Linked DNA regions of Arabidopsis thaliana. The protein of the gene in region 2 purifies or fractionates together with the protein of the main gene of each other region. This does not show direct contact. Each region holds a gene or a part of one and is shown on either strand. Other genes may lie near its edges.

What was found.
Region 1: the proteins of AT4G38930 (region 2) and AT1G12230 fractionate together in Arabidopsis thaliana (co-fractionation; one large-scale study listed by BioGRID). This does not show direct contact.
Region 3: the proteins of AT4G38930 (region 2) and GSH1 fractionate together in Arabidopsis thaliana (co-fractionation; one large-scale study listed by BioGRID). This does not show direct contact.
Region 4: the proteins of AT4G38930 (region 2) and AT2G43090 fractionate together in Arabidopsis thaliana (co-fractionation; one large-scale study listed by BioGRID). This does not show direct contact.

Annotation. Positions count from the first base shown.
Region 1 is NC_003070.9:4,146,345-4,151,592, forward strand, and holds AT1G12230 (Aldolase superfamily protein), read left to right. Parts: upstream 1-1,617; 5' UTR 1,618-1,705; coding exon 1,706-1,759; intron 1,760-1,849; coding exon 1,850-1,991; intron 1,992-2,394; coding exon 2,395-2,473; intron 2,474-2,565; coding exon 2,566-2,631; intron 2,632-2,735; coding exon 2,736-2,811; intron 2,812-2,905; coding exon 2,906-2,989; intron 2,990-3,082; coding exon 3,083-3,187; intron 3,188-3,276; coding exon 3,277-3,357; intron 3,358-3,432; coding exon 3,433-3,497; intron 3,498-3,591; coding exon 3,592-3,661; intron 3,662-3,734; coding exon 3,735-3,910; intron 3,911-3,994; coding exon 3,995-4,133; intron 4,134-4,217; coding exon 4,218-4,364; 3' UTR 4,365-4,712; downstream 4,713-5,248. Other genes in the region: RPS5 (Disease resistance protein (CC-NBS-LRR class) family), read left to right, coding at 1-1,336.
Region 2 is NC_003075.7:18,147,537-18,152,323, reverse strand, and holds AT4G38930 (Ubiquitin fusion degradation UFD1 family protein), read right to left. Parts: upstream 2,792-4,787; 5' UTR 2,737-2,791; exon of another isoform or gene 2,553-2,736; intron 2,453-2,552; 5' UTR 2,418-2,452; coding exon 2,415-2,417; intron 2,332-2,414; coding exon 2,254-2,331; intron 2,130-2,253; coding exon 2,105-2,129; intron 2,005-2,104; coding exon 1,972-2,004; intron 1,881-1,971; coding exon 1,759-1,880; intron 1,677-1,758; coding exon 1,546-1,676; intron 1,432-1,545; coding exon 1,211-1,431; intron 1,136-1,210; coding exon 897-1,135; intron 804-896; coding exon 708-803; 3' UTR 548-707; downstream 1-547. Other genes in the region: VHA-C3 (vacuolar-type H[+]-ATPase C3), read right to left, coding at 3,471-3,603, 3,941-4,226.
Region 3 is NC_003075.7:12,101,684-12,109,571, forward strand, and holds GSH1 (glutamate-cysteine ligase), read right to left. Parts: upstream 6,013-7,888; 5' UTR 5,442-6,012; intron 5,083-5,441; 5' UTR 5,069-5,082; coding exon 4,743-5,068; intron 4,573-4,742; coding exon 4,422-4,572; intron 4,253-4,421; coding exon 4,145-4,252; intron 4,068-4,144; coding exon 3,975-4,067; intron 3,796-3,974; coding exon 3,712-3,795; intron 3,593-3,711; coding exon 3,524-3,592; intron 3,434-3,523; coding exon 3,363-3,433; intron 3,279-3,362; coding exon 3,210-3,278; intron 2,956-3,209; coding exon 2,862-2,955; intron 2,736-2,861; coding exon 2,646-2,735; intron 2,555-2,645; coding exon 2,474-2,554; intron 2,380-2,473; coding exon 2,287-2,379; intron 2,201-2,286; coding exon 2,120-2,200; coding exon of another isoform or gene 2,096-2,119; exon of another isoform or gene 2,022-2,095; coding exon 1,952-2,021; intron 1,864-1,951; coding exon 1,775-1,863; 3' UTR 1,678-1,774; exon of another isoform or gene 1,416-1,677; intron 625-1,415; 3' UTR 452-624; downstream 1-451.
Region 4 is NC_003071.7:17,917,280-17,921,005, reverse strand, and holds AT2G43090 (Aconitase/3-isopropylmalate dehydratase protein), read right to left. Parts: upstream 2,081-3,726; 5' UTR 2,050-2,080; coding exon 1,294-2,049; 3' UTR 1,282-1,293; intron 825-1,281; 3' UTR 510-824; downstream 1-509. Other genes in the region: IPMI2 (isopropylmalate isomerase 2), read right to left, coding at 1-321; AT-P4H-1 (P4H), read right to left, coding at 2,407-2,514, 2,605-2,697, 2,786-2,875, 3,124-3,175, 3,269-3,339, 3,432-3,506. UniProt on the Arabidopsis thaliana protein: Catalyzes the isomerization between 2-isopropylmalate and 3-isopropylmalate, via the formation of 2-isopropylmaleate. Plays an essential role in leucine biosynthesis.

The DNA.
Region 1 (5,248 bases), on a different chromosome or scaffold from region 2:
AGAGAGGAATATTAACCAAGGTTATGAGATAATTGGTACCCTTGTCCGTGCATGTTTGTTGTTGGAGGAAGAAAGGAACAAATCAAACGTGAAAATGCATGATGTGGTTCGTGAGATGGCTCTATGGATATCATCCGATCTTGGGAAGCAAAAGGAGAAATGTATTGTGCGAGCTGGTGTTGGGTTACGTGAAGTACCAAAAGTCAAGGATTGGAACACTGTGAGAAAGATTTCTTTGATGAATAATGAGATTGAAGAGATATTTGACAGTCACGAGTGTGCTGCACTTACAACTCTATTTCTCCAAAAGAACGACGTGGTAAAGATCTCGGCTGAATTCTTTCGATGTATGCCTCATCTGGTGGTTTTAGATCTATCAGAGAATCAGAGTCTTAATGAATTACCAGAAGAAATATCAGAGCTGGCCTCTTTGAGATATTTCAACTTGTCATATACATGTATACATCAACTACCCGTTGGTTTATGGACATTGAAAAAGCTAATACATCTGAATCTCGAACACATGAGCAGTCTTGGGAGTATATTAGGGATATCAAATTTGTGGAATTTGAGGACATTGGGACTACGAGATTCCAGACTGTTGCTAGATATGAGTTTAGTGAAGGAGCTGCAGCTCTTAGAACATCTAGAAGTTATAACCCTAGATATATCATCAAGTTTGGTTGCAGAGCCATTGTTATGCTCTCAAAGGTTGGTGGAATGTATAAAAGAGGTAGATTTTAAGTACCTTAAGGAAGAATCAGTGAGAGTATTGACTTTGCCAACCATGGGTAATCTCCGCAAGCTCGGGATAAAAAGATGTGGAATGAGGGAGATAAAGATAGAGAGGACAACTTCATCATCGTCTCGGAACAAAAGTCCCACAACTCCATGCTTCTCAAACCTCTCCAGAGTCTTTATAGCTAAATGCCATGGTCTTAAGGATTTGACGTGGCTTTTGTTTGCTCCTAATCTTACTTTTCTTGAAGTTGGGTTCTCAAAGGAAGTAGAGGATATAATTAGTGAAGAGAAAGCTGAGGAGCATTCAGCTACGATTGTTCCTTTTAGGAAATTGGAGACACTACACCTGTTTGAATTACGCGGGCTCAAGAGAATCTATGCAAAGGCTCTGCATTTTCCGTGTCTGAAAGTTATCCACGTAGAAAAATGTGAAAAGCTGAGAAAGCTTCCATTGGATTCTAAAAGTGGGATCGCGGGTGAAGAACTTGTCATATATTATGGAGAGAGAGAATGGATAGAAAGGGTTGAATGGGAGGACCAAGCAACTCAACTCCGTTTCTTACCTTCATCCAGGTGGCGGTGGAGAGAAACATAATGAACTTCACTTTCTTCTACAAACTTTTGTTGTCATGGTCTAAAGACATTTGCCGGTGTGTAAATCTCTTCCTTGTCTCTTCTTGTTTGCATAACCGTTCTCATCGTTCTTTTGGTTAGTGATCATTGGATTTGTACTTATCTCTTTCTCTAAACGATGAGTGTTTGTTTCGGCTTCATAGAAACATTACACAGAGACTCATGAGAAAATGAATAAAAACTTGCAAGTTCCTAACCATTGTAATAAAATAATAATTAACTGTCTTATCTCGTTGACAGTTTTCGGATAAATTAGAAAAGGCGGGACCCACGTTAATTGGAAGATATCAACGGCTGGATCTGCTTACTCAGATCAACTTCAGCGAAAAAAATGCCACTCTCGTTGCAATCTCCGCCTTGTGCAACTCTCTCTGCTTCAATCCGAGTACTCTCCTCTTCGCTTACTTCTTTCAATCGCATGTATTTGTGCATTGTTTGTTTTTTATCTAATGGATGCGAGCTTTGAACTTCGCAGAAGGGACGATGGAAGACGCTCGCCGCCGGATTCTCCGTTACTCCTCTTCCCGCCGTTAACTTCAGTCTTCGGCGATCGATTCCTCGGATTCTTGCTTCCGCTAGTTCCTCCTCCTCTCCTGCGTCTTCGTCTCTCGAAGCTGGTATTTGTTTATATCTTTGATGATCGTGTTTCTCATTAATTAATAAATACGATTTCTGGAAAGACAAAACAAAAGTATGGGTTTTTGAAAGATTGACTACGATTCAAGCTTTCTTTTTATGTGGGTTTGTTTTTATACTGTCTTGAGTCACTTGTTAGGAAACTATGCTTGACAAAGTTGCTATTTTTGGTTTACCTTTCTTAGTTCAGGACCTTCTGGTTGCTTTAGTTCTTAGCTGAACAGTGTTGATTTATGGTTGAATTTGAAGAAACAAATTGTGTATTTGGTGTTTAACATTGTTCTTGGATGATATCGGTTTTCCTAAAGTTCTCAACTTTATTTCTTCTGGAATGCTTTTAGATGATCATTGAGTTGTTTGATGAAATTGTGTTTTTTTTTTCAGGTGAGAACAATGAGCTAAATGCTGTTTCAGCTTTTAGTGAGATTGTTCCTGATACTGTCGTTTTCGATGACTTTGAGAGGTATGATATATATCTCTACTTCATGAGACTTTAGTTACACTGGTATATCATAAAAATGGAGTCAGACATTCTTAACTTGAGATTGTACTGAGTTTTTCTCTGGATCGAGGATACAAGAAAGAAATTAGCTTAAGATGTAAAAACTCACTCCCTCACAAGTATAACTTCTAACCTTTAGTTATTGTGAAAACCAGATAGTATAACCTTTTGGTTTTCTAATTGTGCTGGATTGATACCTTTGTTGTATTTTACTGATCTGCAGGTTTCCGCCGACTGCAGCTACTGTTAGCTCTGCTCTTCTTCTGGGTATCTGTGGTCTACCTGATACCATTTTCCGCGTAAGCATTTCAAGAGTTTTGATTCTTAGATGATAGTATATGACATCTCTTGTTTTGGGCTCATTTAATTTTGACATTTTTACATCATGATTAGAATGCTGTGGACATGGCTTTGGCGGATTCTTCTTGTGCAGGGCTTGAAACCACAGAATCTCGACTCTCTTGCTTTTTCAATAAGGTTGATCTTCTTATCCCTTATCTGTTTTTCCACTTCCAGATCTTTGCTGCTTAAAAGCTTTTTTTGCCCTTATTACTGATGAGAAAAGTGCAGGCTATTGTCAACGTAGGTGGCGATCTTGTCAAACTCGTTCCAGGTCGAGTTTCTACTGAAGTGGATGCACGTCTTGCTTATGACACAAATGGCATTATCCGCAAGGTAGTTACTACACCATATATATAAGATAATTTGATTATATGTCTCCTGTATCTTCAAATCACTAACTTGTGATGTGATGATGTGTGTAGGTTCATGATCTGCTGAGACTATACAATGAAATCGATGTACCACACGACCGGCTCCTATTCAAAATCCCTGCAACTTGGCAAGTAAGATTATTTTCAGCAAATACCAAAGCTTTACCTTTTACTGGTCTCTTAGTATTGTGCTTATCCCTCTCATAGGGTATTGAAGCTGCAAGATTGTTGGAATCAGAGGGAATCCAAACGCATATGACCTTTGTTTACAGGTACCATAAAACATACCTTTTGACTCTTTTATTTTAGAATTGTCTATCCATCTGATTTGTTTACTTTATAATTTCGTTTTGCATTCATCAACAGCTTTGCACAAGCTGCAGCAGCTTCTCAAGCCGGTGCTTCTGTCATTCAGATTTTCGTCGGTCGCCTCAGGGTAACCATTTTTTAAACAGATGCTGCTAAGTGATTTCAGTGATATGCCAAAGTTAATATCTTAAAATCATTAGGATTGGGCGCGTAATCATTCGGGAGATACCGAGATTGAATCTGCTATTAAATCGGGAGAAGATCCTGGTTTGGCCTTGGTCAAAAGATCATATAACTACATTCACAAGTATGGTTACAAGTCCAAGCTGATGGCTGCTGCTGTCCGGAACAAACAAGACTTGTTCAGTCTTCTCGGGTAAACTCAAACTTCCAAATCATAGCTTCGACCATCAATGGATTCTGATCACATTCTAACTTTCAATGTTCTCTTCAATCTCAGGGTCGATTATGTCATTGCACCATTAAAGGTACTGCAATCTCTTAAAGATTCACCCGCCATTCCCGATGATGAAAAATACTCATTTGTTCGGAAACTTACTCCTGAAACTGCAACACATTACCACTTCACCAACAAAGAGGTTAGTTCTGAAGCTAACCAACACTCATTTGCTTCTGGTTTCACTAAACCAGTGTCTCACCCTGTTTGTTTGATTCTGGTTTAGCTGGTCAAATGGGACCAGCTAAGCTTGGCTTCATCTATGGGTCCTGCATCAGTGGAGCTTTTATCAGCCGGTGTTGAAGGTTATGCGAACCAAGCGAAACGTGTTGAAGAGCTTTTCGGGAAGATTTGGCCACCTCCTAATGTCTAAATACACAGCTTTTCTCTTCATCAATAAGGATCTGTATCAATAAGAGAACTAAGTGTCCATGTTACTTGAACACTACCCTGTTTATCTTCCTGCCCTCTTTATCTTTTTCGTGGCTTGTTGTTCATCATGTCTGAGACTTGGGCTACAAGATAAGAGACTTTAGTTTTAAGACTAAAAGTCTAAAACCAAATCCTTTTCATGTTGTTTCGTCTGAACTTCGGTCTTTTTTTCTCTGTAATTGACTTAGTCGGTTCTCAGATCTCTGAGTCATGATTGTACCGATAAACCAAAATTGAACCGATTGTTTTTGTAAAACCAATCGGGTTCTATTAAAGTTCAAACTAAACTAAAAATTTAACTATGGACTGAAAATAAATAAAAAAATTCTTAGACAAAAAAAAGTTGGACATAGGCCAAACACTGTTTGTTTGACAAATTCTAAGATAAATGATAAAAAGATGAGTTTTTTTAGGGCGAGAAAGACGGTTTAAATCCAAAAAAAAAATTGGGAATTTATGTGTACCAAATGATAAATATCATGAAGACAATGAAGAGGATCAACATAAACTTATCAATCTCAGTCAGATGCATTATCTGATGTCTAGTCACTTCTCTATCCACCTTCTTTAATGTCATTTAGTAATTTTCACACAAGCAGAAACGTACCATGTTATAAATCTTATCTTCTAATGTTTACAAATTCGTACGTCTTACATTTAGTTGTTGACAAAAAAAAAAGATAATTGAAATTTAGTTCAATCATTTTTTTCCTGTGTGATTGCGTTTTTCCTTTGACGACATGTTGTTTGTGATTAATTATTGTGGGTTCATACCAATAATTATGAAATACCTAGATTATTTTTTAAAATATAGCTCGATTTAAA
Region 2 (4,787 bases):
AGATCAATTCGGTTTGCTTTCTTCTTCAGAAGAATTCTGCTTTCACCAAACTCATCTTTTCCTTTATAAGGGAGTAATATCTTCACCGTCCATTGAAGGGACCTACAAGATAGGTATTAGGTGAAGCTTTCCTTTGAAGACTAGATTGAGAGATCTCTGAATTTATTTCAAGGTGGTGGCATGGAATCTTCAGCTGATGGAATCCGGCGAATTATGTGGAAGAAGCTCTTGGTGTTGATTTGATTAAGCCCGACCGACGGAGCAGAGGTGGATCGTGGATCAGCCGGCAACGTCAGTTTCAACATCTCTTCATCTCACGTTGGACACGTGTTGGCAACGTGGCACTTTTTTTGTCTTAGCCTTATCTTTAGAATTGGGTGGGTTAAGCTGTGCTTTAAATTTTAATCAAAGTTGTAAATGGTGAGGGATTGGGCCTTTCATCAGCATCTGTAACACCCTTTATTGGGTTTTAATATCCAATATGAAATTTGGCCGACAAAAAAAAAAAAAAAAAAAAAACATAAATGGCTAAATAAATCCCACTCTAAAATTAATGATGATGAATCACATACATCATCTTCTTCTTTTTTTCTTGAATTTATTTGTGTTTTTTTTCTTCCTTTAAACGTTTAATTCCATAGATAATACATAAGCACAAGAGTAAAATCATAAATAAGACGAGAGATTGGTTCCACACATTGGTTGGTTCAACCCCTCAATGAATATTTTTTACCACTAAAAGCTTGGAACTTGGCTTCCTTCTCAGCCTCTTCCTCTTGCTTTCTATCTTTCCCAGCTCCAACCTAAGTTACAGATAGATCAACATTATATTTCTACTCCATCTCTTATCTCTGATACCATTTTTTGCACATACTACTTTTAAACAAGTTATTTACCTTTGTTGTCTCTTTAGTAGACCGCTCTACATTTGAACCGAACACAAGTTTCCCTCGATTTTGTTGCGTAGCCTTCTCTGACCCACTACTACTACTACTTGCAACAGGATGTGATTGGCCGTTACTGTTAGCAGCACCAGGTTGCGGTTCATAGGATAAAGGTCGTCCATCCAAACGTCTTCCCGAACCCGTGAAAGGGTTAAACTTTGGTTCTGCTTCAGCCACATCAACCTCCTTAGCTGTATCAAAAAAAGAAGACCACATTAGAATCTAACAGCTTGGAGCTAATTTCATGTCCAATTCATACAAATCACCTTTTGCTTCACCTTTGGCTGGAGCAGGTGCTACAGGTCGTTCGGGTTCCTTGTAATCAAGGGGAGGTGCGAAATCAACCTCGCAATCAGTTTCAATGATGCTAATACCATTAGAAGGCTTTGCCTCCACTATGTCTATGAAGTATTTCTTATTGTTGTATGGGACCATAATGCTATCTCCGACCGTTAGACATGAATAGTTCCTCAATGCGGTCTCCAAGCTGCAGCAGAAACACAGGAACCGGTTCAATATACACAGAGTACGGTATTCGCAAAGAATTCAAAGTCTAGATGGAGACAAAAATACAAGAGGGGGAGGAGTAAGTCGGAATTACATGGCTTTCGGGTTAGCTATATCGAGAAAGTCTGTTGTGTGGGGTTGCAGTTTCACGTAGGTTCCCTTTGGAAGAGTGACATTTCTAACTCTCACCATGTCTCCTTCTTGCAACAGCAAATTCTGCATCATCTGCAAAAGCAAACAATCGATTTTAAGTCACAAGATATCGAGTATCTTGTATTGGTGATAAAAACAAGCTACTGTTTGTTACCCAGTAGGGAATGTAAATCACGCCTTCTTCTGCGATGAACTCAAGGACTCCGCAGTGAGAAAAACTATCTGTTGAAGCATTACGAAGTTCAAAGAGCATTGGATAATCAATCTGCAAAGAAGCTGTAAACAGTGATGGATGTAAGTGGCTCTGGATAATCAAATGAAATCCGAAAAAGAAGCTGGAATCATTAAGCAAAGGAAGAAAATGTACCTAGACGATCAAGGGCTGATGGTGGCATTATAACTGAAAATAGATATCAAAGAAATCAAATTACAAAACTTGAGCATTATAAAGAGTAACATAAACTTGGAAAGACACATTATTTGTAAGATTAAAGACTTACTCTTGTCACCACTTTCAATTTGAGGCTATGAAAAGAAAAAAGAAAAAAGAAAAGAGATGTTAGAATTGGGGTTGTAAACATTGCACAAGTTCTCCAATTTTACATATATAAGCATATAAAATAATAAGTAAGGAACTTTGAAATCAAACCTTATCAATAAAGGATGAGGGATAACACCGGTAAGTCTGCTCAAAGGTAGTTCCATGATAAGCGTATCCATCGTAAAACTGCAATTGCAGGGACACTAACACATGAGATGGAAGAACAGTTACTAGATAGATTGAAATTACTGATTTAAGAGAAAAGTTACCATCTTTCAACTGGTAGATAAACAAGAGTTAACGCCAACTGTCAAAAAGGAAGACCAAATTAATAGTCATTTAGCACAAGTAAGCAGACGTATAGGCAAGATCATCTACAACTCGCGTCGAAACGCACAAAACCCAACCTTTCGATTCCTAAACGAGTACTCCACAATTCTAACGAAACGAATCTACCATGGTGACACCCAAACGTACAAATCCGACCATAATTGGGCTTAAAGCGCGAACCAAAACGGAAACCTAGAATTGGAAGCTTCCTTCTCGCGAGAATTGACAATCGGAGAAAACAGAGATAGAGAGAGAGAGTACCTGCTTGTGAGAAGAAGAATCAATTGGTCGCGTGATTCCCGCAAGGTAAGTCGTATCGTCTTCACGTCTATCTCCTTCTTTATATACCGTATACGGCGTCTTACATTAATATGGGCTTGGGCTTAAGTTCTAATTCGGCTTTGGGCTTTGAATTATTAACGACAAATGTGTGCGATAAGGAATGAGAAACTTTGTAGTTAACCAGACGCATGTTAAAAATGATAGTTAACAGACACATCCACATGTTCAAAATATATATATACGATAGGAGTTTGGGCTTCTTTCATCATCTGTACAGCCCAATGGGCTCTGTTCATTTTAACGAAATTAAACTGGTCGACAAATATATATATATATATATATACACGATAAAACCCAAAAACAAAACAGAAAAATATTCAAAAAAGTTTCATAAACAAGATCAAATCGAGTTTTTCTGGAATTTTATTAGGAAAATGATAAACGATATAAATAGGGTGTCTCCCACAGTTATCTTACTGGGAACAGAAGAATCCGCAACGGTCTCATTACAAACATAACAGAAGGGTGAAAACGGAACAACGCTTTTGATGATGATGTGTGGTTTTTGTTTCGAGAAGACATGCCACAAGGAACAAAACCACTGTGTCTCTCTACTAACCTGACAAACAATATAAGAAGATCCCGGCTCTATGAAGAGACCGGTGAAAAGGGGAAGAAAGAATCATGCGGACTTCAAGAACCGCACTCTTTTCTCATTCGGCTCTGGACTGACCAGCTCGGGAGGACAAAATGATCCCGACGATGAGACCGTATAGAGCAAGAGCTTCAGCGAAAATGAGGATAAGAATCATACCAACGAAAAGCTTTGGCTGTTGAGCATTGGCCCTGTCATCAAACCACAAATTTGCGTATCAAAATGATATAACAGGGGATAGACACTCACAATTGAATTGATATTTCTTCCATTATATTTCATCCTAGAGAAATACGCCATGGCACAAGACATCTCACAGAAGCATGTAATGAACTGATATTTCTTCCATTATAGATTCAACAGTCAGTGAATTGCACATATTCCCTACCAAATTTTCATCAAGTTGAATTGTGACACTAAACTCATGATATTCTGATTCATAAGGGAGATATACTTGTATAAAATTGAGTCTTTTAGCAAATTAGGCTATAAGAGTGAATCTGCAAAGAAGGACACAGAGGATCGTACCTGACACCAGCATCGCCAACGATACCTATGGCCATTCCAGCTGAAAGACCAGCTAGCCCACAAGCAAGACCAGAAGAGAGATGAGCATATCCGTCGAAGAGGTAGTAGGATTTAGCCTTGGGGTTAATCCCGGTACTGATGATAACAGCAATAATCAAACCATAGATACCCAACACACCAGCCATAACAACTGGGACAATAGACTTCATCACCAACTCCGGCCTCATCACACCCATAGATGCCACTCCCACACCACTCTTTGCTGTCCCGTACGCAGCTCCCATACCTTGTTAATAACACAAAGATACACACTCTTTAAGGTCACAATCTAACTATGGTTTACACAAGTAATCAACATGCCTTCGATATGAAGAAAAAGCATAATTGACATAGATGAAAGCAACTCAGCAATTTTGATGGTAACAACGGTAAATCTGTACTTATGCAATTAGTACCAGTCACAGCAATCACAAAACCTGGCAACTCCAGCAAATTTCCCTAGGTAATTTCGATATGTTGGACAAAGAACAGGACACCAAGAAATTCTTTTTTTTTTGTCGGGGACACCAAGAAATTCAACACATACAGATCTAAGCCAAAAAGTCTTAGTTTCTAGAAGATCAGCCTAGACTACATCACCAATGGAGAAAAGACAAAGAAAAAGGATTTAAAACCAGCGTAGAGCAGTTCCATAAGAATTTGATCCACTGACTAAAGATAATAAACTAGAATTTTCGAAAAGGAGAGACATATAATAGTTCAGTGATATCGCTTAGCCTAAACAAATCTAGAGAGAAATTTCTAAGAAAAATCATGAGCAACACACAGATCGGTGAACTTCTCAGGG
Region 3 (7,888 bases), 6.0 Mb from region 2:
ATAAGTTTTTATCCAATTCTATTAATAGGAAAACGGATGACAACCTCCTGGATCATTTCTTAGTATTTGTCATCACTCTTCCCCTGAATCATTGATCAACCTGACAACCTCTATACCAATTCAAAAGATTGTCTCCCATTTGAACTAATATTTTCATATACATGAAAAATCCTATTACTGTAGCCAAGGCACTTTTGAAGCTAATGATCAGGTAGGAGAAGTGATTTCAACCCACTGTTGTAATACATGATTGCATAATCAAAACCAATCTATGGAATCCACATTTGAAATATTTTGGCCCGTTTTAAAATATTTTTTTGGTAACGTTTTTTAACGGATTTTTGATTTCTGCAAATTTTGGCGCGCTTTCCACTTTCAAACTGAATTTTTGAAAGAATCTAAATGGCATGCGATCATAATTAACACTTTTTAAGATGTAAGATCCTTCATATTTCATAACCATAATTAATTTGATAGACAATAAATGATTGCATAATGTTCCACTGTTGTGATAGATGATTGCATAATCAAAACCAATCTATGGGACAAAGCCACATTTGAATTATTTTACAGATCTATACGACATATTCGAACTTAAAAAAAAAACAATAAAAACAAACAAAACTCAGTCGTTTTTAAAGCCAGTCGCTAGTTATAGTCGCAGCGACACTTAAACGAACCGGCCCGAAGTCTCTCATAAAAATTGCGATTGCGTTTACATGTTTACCTAATATATTAAATTCCAATTTAAATGAAAGAAATCAATTTTAATCAATTTCCTTTTTAGCAAATTGTTTTGATTTTTTATTTTTTTTTGGTTGCCATAGACGACATTTGTTAGGTTGTTTCAAATATTGGACTTAAATTTTAAAATTGAAAACAAGCAAGGTTATGTGAAAAAGCAATTGGTTTACAGTTTAAGGTTTAGGAAAAATAAGACTAGAAGCAGATTAAAAACATTTGATCTCAAAAACTAGAAACGTGCCAAATTAAAGTATCAACGAAATACATGGAGATTTTAAAAATTATGATCTCTTATGTAGATTACAGTTTTAACGGACATAAAAACGTTGACGTAACATACATGAATGAAAGGTGGGTATATTAATTAGGTAAGGCAGTGTGTGGACTGTGGAGACTCGGTTTTTCTCACTCTCATCAGTCATCACTCATCATTTTGTAGGGACGCCTTGGTAGGGTTTACATATTATCCTGTCACCTAAGTGCCACTATCTTCTTGTTTTACGATAATTACCGACGGCCAGGATCATCGTGTTGTAATCAGTTTAGTTTACGCGGAGTCTGGTGGATTCAATTATGAAAGCAGTGTTCTTCACTAGCCAAAACCTATTAAAGGAAAAGCTCGTAAATGTCTACATCGAAGATGCTCTCCCATTTAGAAAAAAACATACATTGCCAAATTACTAAACATCAAAACTTTCCACTACACAGCCTAGATTATCCCATCCGTCGCCTTTGCCTTGAAATCAGTTTTGAGTTATTTCGTTAAATGTAGACAAATTTGTGACAAGAAAAATGGGTAATTTATTCAAGATCCAAACACACCCTCCCAAACGATTTCCCACACCGAAATCGTTTAGTACATACAATTTTTCTTCTGCTTTTCAATGCTTCGAATTTCTAAAACAAAATCAGTTTTTAAAATCCGATTACAACAAAAAAAAAAATCCTTATTCCGGAGACTCGAATTCTTCAGATAGCATAAACTCACACCCAAAGGTTTATAGACACCTTTTGTTCACGTCCCATTTTCTTAGTACAGCAGCTCTTCGAACACGGGATCTACGCTTTGTCCCCATTCTCCATTGTACATCTCCAAGAGCTTCTCCGCAGGCGTAACTCCTGTCATTTCAAAACCAAATTTCACCACCAGGTTATCAAACAAAATGTCGGTGTGGAATTCAATTATGCATTAGGAAACTTCATTTACCTGTTCTGACCACTTCATCGACTGCGTTCAAGAAACCGGCTTCCTTGTAGCCTCTGCGCTCTAAACCATCCTGAGAAACAAAGAGAAAATAAGTCCAATAGTTAGAAGCTGGACCAGACGGGATAGAAAGCTGGCTCGAAGTTTCTAAGAGGGTTCATACAAACACACCTTTGCGAGTTTCAGGACATCTTCAGCGACATGCTTTAACAAACCATCCCTAAAAGGAGTCTTTAAGCCAGTAACTGGGACCTGTTGGAAATCAAGTATTAGTTTATTACAAGATGTTTTCTAACTGTGGAATAAGAAAATGTAAATGTGGTGCGTCTTGTTATTACTTTGTTCCTTAGCATCTCTCTCTCTGCTGGAGTCCAGTCAGCTGTCAGATCCAGGATAGCTTGGAGACTATCATCATCATATAATAAACCCACCTGAAATTTGTAGATAAAATCAAAACAACAGTCAATACTTTTTGAAACATTCTCATTAAGCACGAAATATATATGTGCTAATAGATGTAGTTACCCAGAAAGCTGGCAGGGCACACAGCCTCCTCCAGGGACCTCCATCAGCACCTCTCATCTCCAAGTATCTCTTCAACCGAACCTAGTGTTATGGAACGTTGTCAGACTTCAACATAAGACAGGGAAATGAAAGTCATAGGCTGATTGAAAGACTCTTGAGGCAGATGATTAACCTCTGGGAATATTGTTGTCAGATGGTTTTCCCAATCATTATATGAAGGCAGTTCACCAGGGAGACAGGGAAGTTTTCCAGCCAAGAATTGCTGCAGCATGAAGAATATTATGAGATTAGATATAATTCAAGAAGATCCCATGGTTTTCAATTTGCCAATTCCTTGCAATGAAACAGTTATAGAACCTAACAGAAAAGATTAAGGATAGATTTTGACCCGAAATGTCATTCCAGTACAGTCGATGTATTTGTTCTTTCTGTAGGCAAAGTACATAGGGACATCGAGTGCGTAGTCAACATACTGCTCAAACCTATACCAGATAAGAACAAAAGAGAGCAATAAAATTAAGATTAGCCATGCTGTTTCAAGAGAAGGATAAAGATCCAAAGCATCTTTCTATCTTGAACACAAACATATGTAAGAAAATCCACAGAATAGCACATATCAATTTTCCAATAACTCATCAAGAATGCGAGACAGAGTCATTGGTTTTTGAGAAGCTTCTCATACCAAACCAACCAATGTAATGTAATTGTTTTTCATAGATTAAACATCGATACTCACCCAAAAGAGTCATCGAAAACAAATGGTAGCATTCCTGTGCGGTCCTTGTCAGTGTCTGTCCATATGTGGCTGTCAAAACATACCAGAGTTATAAGGTGGGAGGGAAACTAATTCAAAAAGATATCGGGGATCATAACAACTGAATCTAGATACCTTCTCATGCTGAGAAATCCGTTTGGCTTTCCTTCTGTAAAAGGGGAATTCGCAAATAGAGCCGTTGCTATCTGTTGAATTTAGATAATAGTGAGGCAATGGTTAGTCAAAATCGTTAATAAAAGTTTCTGGTTATGCCACAAAGAGATCGAGCTTCTCACAGGTTGTAAAGCAAGACCAGCACGAAACTTCCTGATCATATCAGCTTCTGAGCTAAAATCCAGATTAACCTGTCAAGATTGCAAGTAATGCAGTTTCTATAAGTTTCAAAATAAGATTATTGATGAGAACTGGAAAGTTTAGTTTAAGGAAATTATGAAAAGGCGCAAAGTCAGAATATTAATCTAACCTGAACAGTACACGTTCGGAGCATCATATCAAGACCAAGGGTACCAACTTTCGGCATGTAGTTTCTCATAATGTCGTATCTCCCCTGCACAGAACACATTACACTATGTCAAATCTTACTGCCTGACTCGTCATAGGAAAACTTAACACAAACACCAAGAAATAATCCGAACGTTGGCTATGTAGAATCAGATAATATTATCTGAATTAGAAACAAACAGATGTTAACTTTCTTCAATCTTAAGAATAGAGAAAGCGTCATACCTTTGGCATGATGGGTATATCCTCCCGACGCCATTTGGGCTGGAAGCCAATTCCTAAGAAACCAATTCCCATTTCCTCAGCAACTGCTTTTACCTGTGACATCCGTAGATAGTTGGTTATTTGTCACGTTTTAGGGTGAGAGCATTGGCAATAATTATCTTTGAAATTACCTGATAAAGATGTGAATTGACTTCAGCACAAGTTTGATGCAAAGTCTCAAGAGGTGCACCACTAAGCTCGAACTGACCCCCAGGTTCAAGTGAAATGCTTTGCTTTCCCTGGTCAACAAAAGGACAGAACGAGTTATCTACAGCAAAAAAAAAAAAAAGACTGAAACCTTATAATATACCGATCATTGTGTTGTATATGAAGCTAACATGTTCTACAGGCTGAAAATGTATATAAATAATAAACGGCTCAAAAGATGAAACACAGGAGAATGTTAACCTGCTTCAGACCAATGATCTTGTCACCTTCCATTACTTTTTCCCATTCAAATCTTTCAGCGATACCATTAAGAAGCTCGGCTATTTGATCATACTTCATAGGGCGCAAAGTATTGACCTCAAAACCAAATTTCTCATGTTCTGTACCTATTCTGAAAACTCACAATGTTAAGTTAGCAAAACAGAATATTTCTCCAATAGACAAACAATCTGGATGAATTCAAACAATACCAACACCGTAAAAGAGCACAAACAAAGAAATATGTCACAATTACAAACACTAAGTAGCATTTTAACAGAACATATAAGCATCAAACTGTACCTATATTTGTCCTTTGTTTTGCATCCAGAGGCAAGATAGGCAATGAGATCCTCTCTCGTCAACGGCTCAGTTGCAACTACAGCCTCTTCCGTTGGAGGACTTGCCGCAACAATCAATTGATGCCCTCTCTTACTCCTCTTAACAGAATGGAGAAGCATTGATTTGGTAGATAGACTCCTAGAGTAGGAGCTACCAAAAGCTTCTTTCATCCTCAAAACATCCAAATTCCTCACGCCACCCGAAACAACAGCTTTAGTTCCAGCCTTTGAACAAACTCCAGAAGGAACAACAGTGTATGATCCTCCTGCTTGAGACAAGAGCGCCATGGTATATATAGCTCCTGCAATTATAACAATTCATCATAAGCTATGAGAAATCACAAATAACTGCATTTTTCTCAATTCTAATAACATATATCACATAATTAGAATCAGCAGCTACCACAGAATTGAACTATCATCTGGAAGAACAAATCAAAATTCGTGTATCACCAAACCAGAAACAACAACAACAACAAAAATCAAATCAAAGCAAAAATCTGCAAAAATTCGACTCTAACAAAACCAAAATCATGCAACAGCCAAAAAAAAATCATGAGAAAAAGCGAAGATTCAACCAAAAAAAAAAAAGCAGAACAAATCAATCAAAAACCAAAATCCACAAGTCCAGAAAGCGAAGAAGAAGAGAAGCAAATCACACCTGAAATTCGTCAAGCTTGACGGAGATTGAGAGACACCGTCGAAATCAAGAAGAAAGCTTAAAGAGCAAAAACGAATCGGCGTTTCAAATTTATATGCGACTGAGAGAGAAATGAGAAACTGATAAAAAAATGAAAGAAAGTTGATCAGTGGAGCATGAGCCGATCAGTGGAGCTGAGCTGTCTATAAAAGAAAGTTGATAAAATTAATAATCATTGTAATAAAAGATTCTTTCGTTTTTTGCCTCTTACTTTTCCATTTCTCACAAATTTAACCCTAATAGTTTTTTAAATAACCAGTTTATTAGTAGTTTAAACAAAGGTTAACTTTATAGTGTGTATAATGAATTAATGATATTTCTATTCTTTATAGTATACTTTAAACGAGGTTTAACTTTACGATATTTAATTTAGAACGTAAAATAATGAAAAGTGTGTCACTAACCAACCACATGACCTCAGATAAAATACTCTATAGGAAAAGAAATATATATACTACTATAAAAAACAGTATCATTATCTATTTGGTTTGATTGTGTCGACAAAAAAATCTTGGTTCTGATGAACGAAAATTGGCGTTATGTTTTTATATTTCCTACTTCTTAGTAGGTGGAATCAAATCCTGCTTTTATAATCAACAATTTAATGATACAAAAACATGTGAATGGTAGATAATGAATCACCATCAAAAGTTCTACTTGTGTATAATAATATATATAGATACGGGATGGATTTGACAATATCCCAATTATAACAATGGAAGGCTATTTGTCTATATTGTTCATGGAATAGTATGGTACCATGGTGGTCATTTACCTTATTTTTAGAAATAACTGTATTTTTAGTAGTAAACACAATTATGGCTATATATCACCTAATTTCTCTATCTGAGTTTGATTTTGTATTCGTGACAAAATCATAGTAAAACAAGTTTAGAAATTTTGTTTACTATTTGGTAATCTACAAAATCCTTCAAATTCCATGGTATTTTTCACATACTTTCGAGAATTTGGTTTTCTCAAAATGAGAAAAACTAATTATTGTGTTAAGTTTTTTTTTTTTTTTTTTTTTGAATGTTATAACACATTTGAGTTTTGTTATAATTTAAAATCTTAAAATTCGAGCTTCGTTCTAATTTCATTATATCGCACAGATTGACTCTATCTTTTTTTTTTTTTTTAATTGACTCTATTCAAATTTTACTACAAGATCCATTATTGTGTTACATATCGATACTCCTATGAATTATGAAGCTGTGCTAAAAAAACATGTGGCATTAGTAATTTATTTATTTGATATCAATTATGGCTGCCATTGAAAAACAAATAGATGCAGAATTGCTTGCGTTTGCATATACGTAACGTAAGTAAAAACTAAAAACTCTTGTAGCGACAAAAATAGAAAAACAAAAAAAACTCTTGTAATTGTGCACTTCTATGTTGTATGTTTAAATTAATATCAAATATATTTTATCGAACACATGAATGAATAAGTTATAAGAAGGTAAGGTAGGTGGACACGTGCGTGACTCAAAAATGGCGGCCATGACTTCTAATCTCCACACCACCAAAGCCTTAAACGGAACCCACCTCCACAGTTTCTTCCTATACATTCGTCACTCACAAGTCACACCGTTTCAACTTTCACGAAAACTTATCTAAAAAATAATAATTAACATTTGACATAATGGAAAATCACATTAATATATAGCCGTCAAAGAGTGAAGTCAGAAATCCTAAAACGATACGGAATTAAGCTGGAGTGTGCTATGCAGACTCTTTCAGTTAATCTTTTCCTTTATATTCCAACCTTAACGTTTTCTAATATCCACGAGAAACCCTAAACTTTCGATTTCACATTAAAGACCCCAATCCTCAGCACAAAGTAACTAAATGCATCAGACATAGTAGCTAGCTATTTGCGCTTATAATGATTTGAAGTTACCAAAAGATTTTCTTCCTAGGGATTAAGAGAAAAGTAACATCTGGGATTGTCATGGCAAGCCCAACTCATAAGTCTCACCGAAGCCCAACTACACATATTCTTAATATGGCCGAAGAGGTAGATGATACACAATCTTGAAAAGTTGTTCTAAGTGGCTGTTGGTGTTGGATTCTCACATTTGAACTCGGCCTATTCAAGGCCCATAAAGAAAGCTTATATAGGTAACATCGAGCTACAACATTCCGGAGCTTCATGACTCTCACCAGGCCCAAGTCACATCAGTTTAGCTCGTGATGGCCCTATACAGTTTGAGCAAGTCAAAATAAAACGGGCATATCTAACAAATTAAAAAGGAAACGTTAAATTGGTAGACATCGAGATGGGGACGTTATGATTTGCATGGATTGACTAAGGAGGTCGTATAGACCAGGGTCACTTCTTTCTAGAAAACAAGCTAGAAAATAGATCAAGAGCCTTTTTTAATTCCAATCTTTTATCTTTGTAA
Region 4 (3,726 bases), on a different chromosome or scaffold from region 2:
CTCTTGCTGGTTCGATGGGAAGGTGCAAGCGGCTCCTGCTGGGATGATCTGGTCGGTGTCTATGTTGTCTTTCAAGACATAGCAGAGGCCGTGGAAGGTTGTGTTGGCTAGGGCTTCGTTAGAGTCGGATTCTGAGGCGGCAGCACGTGGGATGATGGTCGGGGAGGATGTGCCACGTGAAGTGATGGAGATAGAGGAGGGGATTAAGGAAGTGGAACCATTGAATCTTAAGAAAGGAGATCGGAAGGTAGCCAAGGAGGAAGAAGTTTTGGTTGACGAGCAAGGTAAGGCTTGGGGAAATGTAGGAAGAGAATACGCCATTGTTTCTTTACTTTGTTGAGTGAGTGAGAGAGTTCACGATGAAAACAATTTAAAAGGAGAAATGTTTGTACCCTCCTATTTACGAAAGTGCCATTCAGAATTCCAAACGTGCGTTTTGATATACTTAGGTAGGTCACAGTGAAACAAAGACTCTAGATACGGATGCCTAAAAAGAAGTGTTAATATTTCTCTATACTATATGACAAAAGTGTGTTCGATCATTGTGTGAGAAAAACAGAGCTCCTGTTCTGTTCTCATGACCAGAAGATTATATTAGTGGAAGACATGAGAGAAAACGTCGTTTCAAATGGGATGGGAAACTATGCATTTTTTTAGCAGCTGATACATCCAAATGTAAACAAGAAACTGATACTGAAGACTAAAGCCGATAGTCATATATATTCATAAAACATAGATTAGGTTCATAAGCTTTTGGAAACATTACATATTCTTATTATTGGATCAAGATCCTTGAAGTGACTCTCATGCACTTCCATTGACACCTGCAAAACAAATAGAACAAAAAAAGGAAAAAAAAAAAGGAGTCTTAGAGACAAAATAAGAGTGAAGTATTGTTCTACTATCGGACACTCAAGTCTTAATGGATATGAGCATGGAAAAGATCAGCCAACATCATAACTTTTACCCTCCCAACAACTACAATCAAGAGATGTACAATCTAGAAATTGAACCAATGGAAAGATAAAGTAAGTCTTAAGCGAAGAGAAAGAATAACAAGTCATTATCAATCTCACACAAAAACTAAACCAACACATTTTAAACAACACAAAACTAGAATCCCAACTACTGTGTTCTCTTTCTCTAACTAGAACCATTGAAAACTATGTTTTGCATCGTTCAATTCAATGTCAAGCTTCCTAGACTATTCCACAAATTCGATCTCAATCCTAACCTATTACCAATCCTCATCATCATCATCATCAAGTTACAGAATCATACCTGAAGTCAAAATCAAGCAGCAGCAGATGGAATCATTCCAGCTTTCCTAGCATAAGCAAATATACCACCAGCATCAATCACTGGTCCAGCATCACCAATCGGCTTAAGCTTGTACTCTTTCCCAGTCGTATGATTGATCAAAATACTATCTCCTTCCCTCAACTCAACAGTCGCAACATCACCAGTTGTACACTCATCACAAACCCTAACTTCAGAATCCAAAGGATAAACCTCACCAGTAGCAACAGAGTTCCTGAAAAAGATTCTAGCATAAGACTGAGCCACCACTGCTTTAGCTCCCGCTGCTCCTAAACAAACCGGAGCATGTTCACGTGACGATCCACATCCAAAGTTTTCACCGCCAATGATGATTGAGTACTTCGTCTTCATCTCACCTGGCTGAACGAATCGTTCCTTGTAAGAAGCTGGAAGACCAACTAAAGCGTAAGAACCGAGTTTCTCGTATTCCTCTGGATTCGAAGGGACGAGAGTGAGAAACTCCGCGGGAATGATTTGGTCAGTGTCGATGTTGTCGCCGACGACATAGCACAGTCCATGGAAGGTTTTTCTTTCTTGTGGCTCGGCGGCGGAGCGAGTGACGAACGATGAGGATGCTTCTCGAGAAACTAGGGGTTTGAAATTGGAAGCGACGGATGTTGAATTGAATCTGAGAAATGGAGATCGGAAGGTGGCGAAGGAGGAAGGTTTGTTCGGAGAAGCTAGGGTTCGTGACAATGTAGGGTTTGCTGATTGCAGAGAAGCCGCCATTGTTTGTTTCTCTTTGCTGTGGTCAAGATTGAAGCAAGTCAACCAAAATGCGATTATAAATAGAGACTTTGTTCTTATTTACCAAAATGCCACTCTCCTTCGTTATTTCGGTGAAATGATAGTTAATTCTTTTGTAACAGTAATTGTTTTCTGTGTCAGTTATATGCTAACAGTAATTTAGAATTTGTTGGAGAGGTTAAAATGTAAAACACATTCATATTGATTTACGTATGTAAATGATAAATTCTAAAATTGAAGGGTCAAAAAGAGAGTAAATCAAAACTCTGAGATACTATGACATTTTTCAATATAAGTCCCTGTGGTTTCTTTTTGTTTTAAAAAGTTTTAAGTAGTTCTTCAAGAAGTAGCTTTTTGCCTCATCCATTTAGTAGCAGACCACTTTTCTCCAGACAGAACTTCACATCCTCCATGTATGCTCCTAGGATCTGACTGTCCGTCGAGTCCCTGAATAACACAAGAAGTAATTGAACTCAAAGCAGTCCAATTGATTCATGTTTGTGTAGAGACATAGAGAGAGAGATTGAAGAAACAAACCATGCTCCAGAAGAGAACTGCGTCTCCTTTGGTGGGTTTAACAGAGATGCCTTTCATGATTTTGCCACCACAGGTGCAATCACCATCACCAGCCTGCATTTCAAGTAGAGAGAGAGAGATATTACACCATTGGTTTATTTTGTTTTCTGAAATTTGCATGAACAGAGAGAAAGTGTTATACCAAAGGGAAATAAGTTTCTCCTCCTTCGACGTCATCAGTTAGATACATAAGCATAGTTGCTACGCGCTGACCACCACGCTTTAGATTGAACTGTGTAGCAACCATAAGAAAAGAAACGAGGAAATATGATGAACACCCACAATAAACGTACTTCCAAACTAAATGTTCTAAGATGATGAAGAAGGAGAAGATGAAGTACAGATCCAACTAAACATTATTGACCAAACCAAAAGTTAAATACTGTAGCCTCTTTTTAGTTTTTTTTTTAATCAGAGCAAAAGCTTTCTTTACCAATCTACTAATGATATATATATATGAAAACAGAACCAAAGACTTACAGTGTCAGCAAAGTAATCGTGATGTGGTTTGTAAAACTGCTGCGGCTCATATCTGCACTGCAGCAGATTTTGATTCATCAAAACAAGAAAAAAGCTTCGTTTACTTTAGATTTAAAAAATAGTAAGGTTGCGGTTGTGCACGCACCTTAGAACTTGAATAAGTTCTCCATTTTCCGCTGGTACTTGAGAAAAGACTGCAATTCGCTTTTCAATTGCCTAATAATAGCAAACGAAAAGGAATATAATTTACAAAATTGTAAAGTTGATCAAAATGGCACGCCTTTAAAAGATATGAGAGAGTGACTTACCTGTATTATTGGATAACTTCTTTCTACATGAGTTAGAAACATTCCGGAGCTTGTCCTCACGTCACTTTTAACTCCCTAAGCAAGAAGAAAGTGATAAGAAAATGGAAGAGTATGGTTAAGACTTTGAAAGCATAACTAGAATATGTCTACTATGGAAGAGAATGAATTAGACTTTGCAGGCAAACCTAGAGCGTTTCTATTTGTGTCCAATGTTTGATTGAAACAACTGAACAATCGAAGGCAGAGAGTGGATGTAATAGAAATTTTACTTCTTCTACAGAACTAAAAGGAAGGT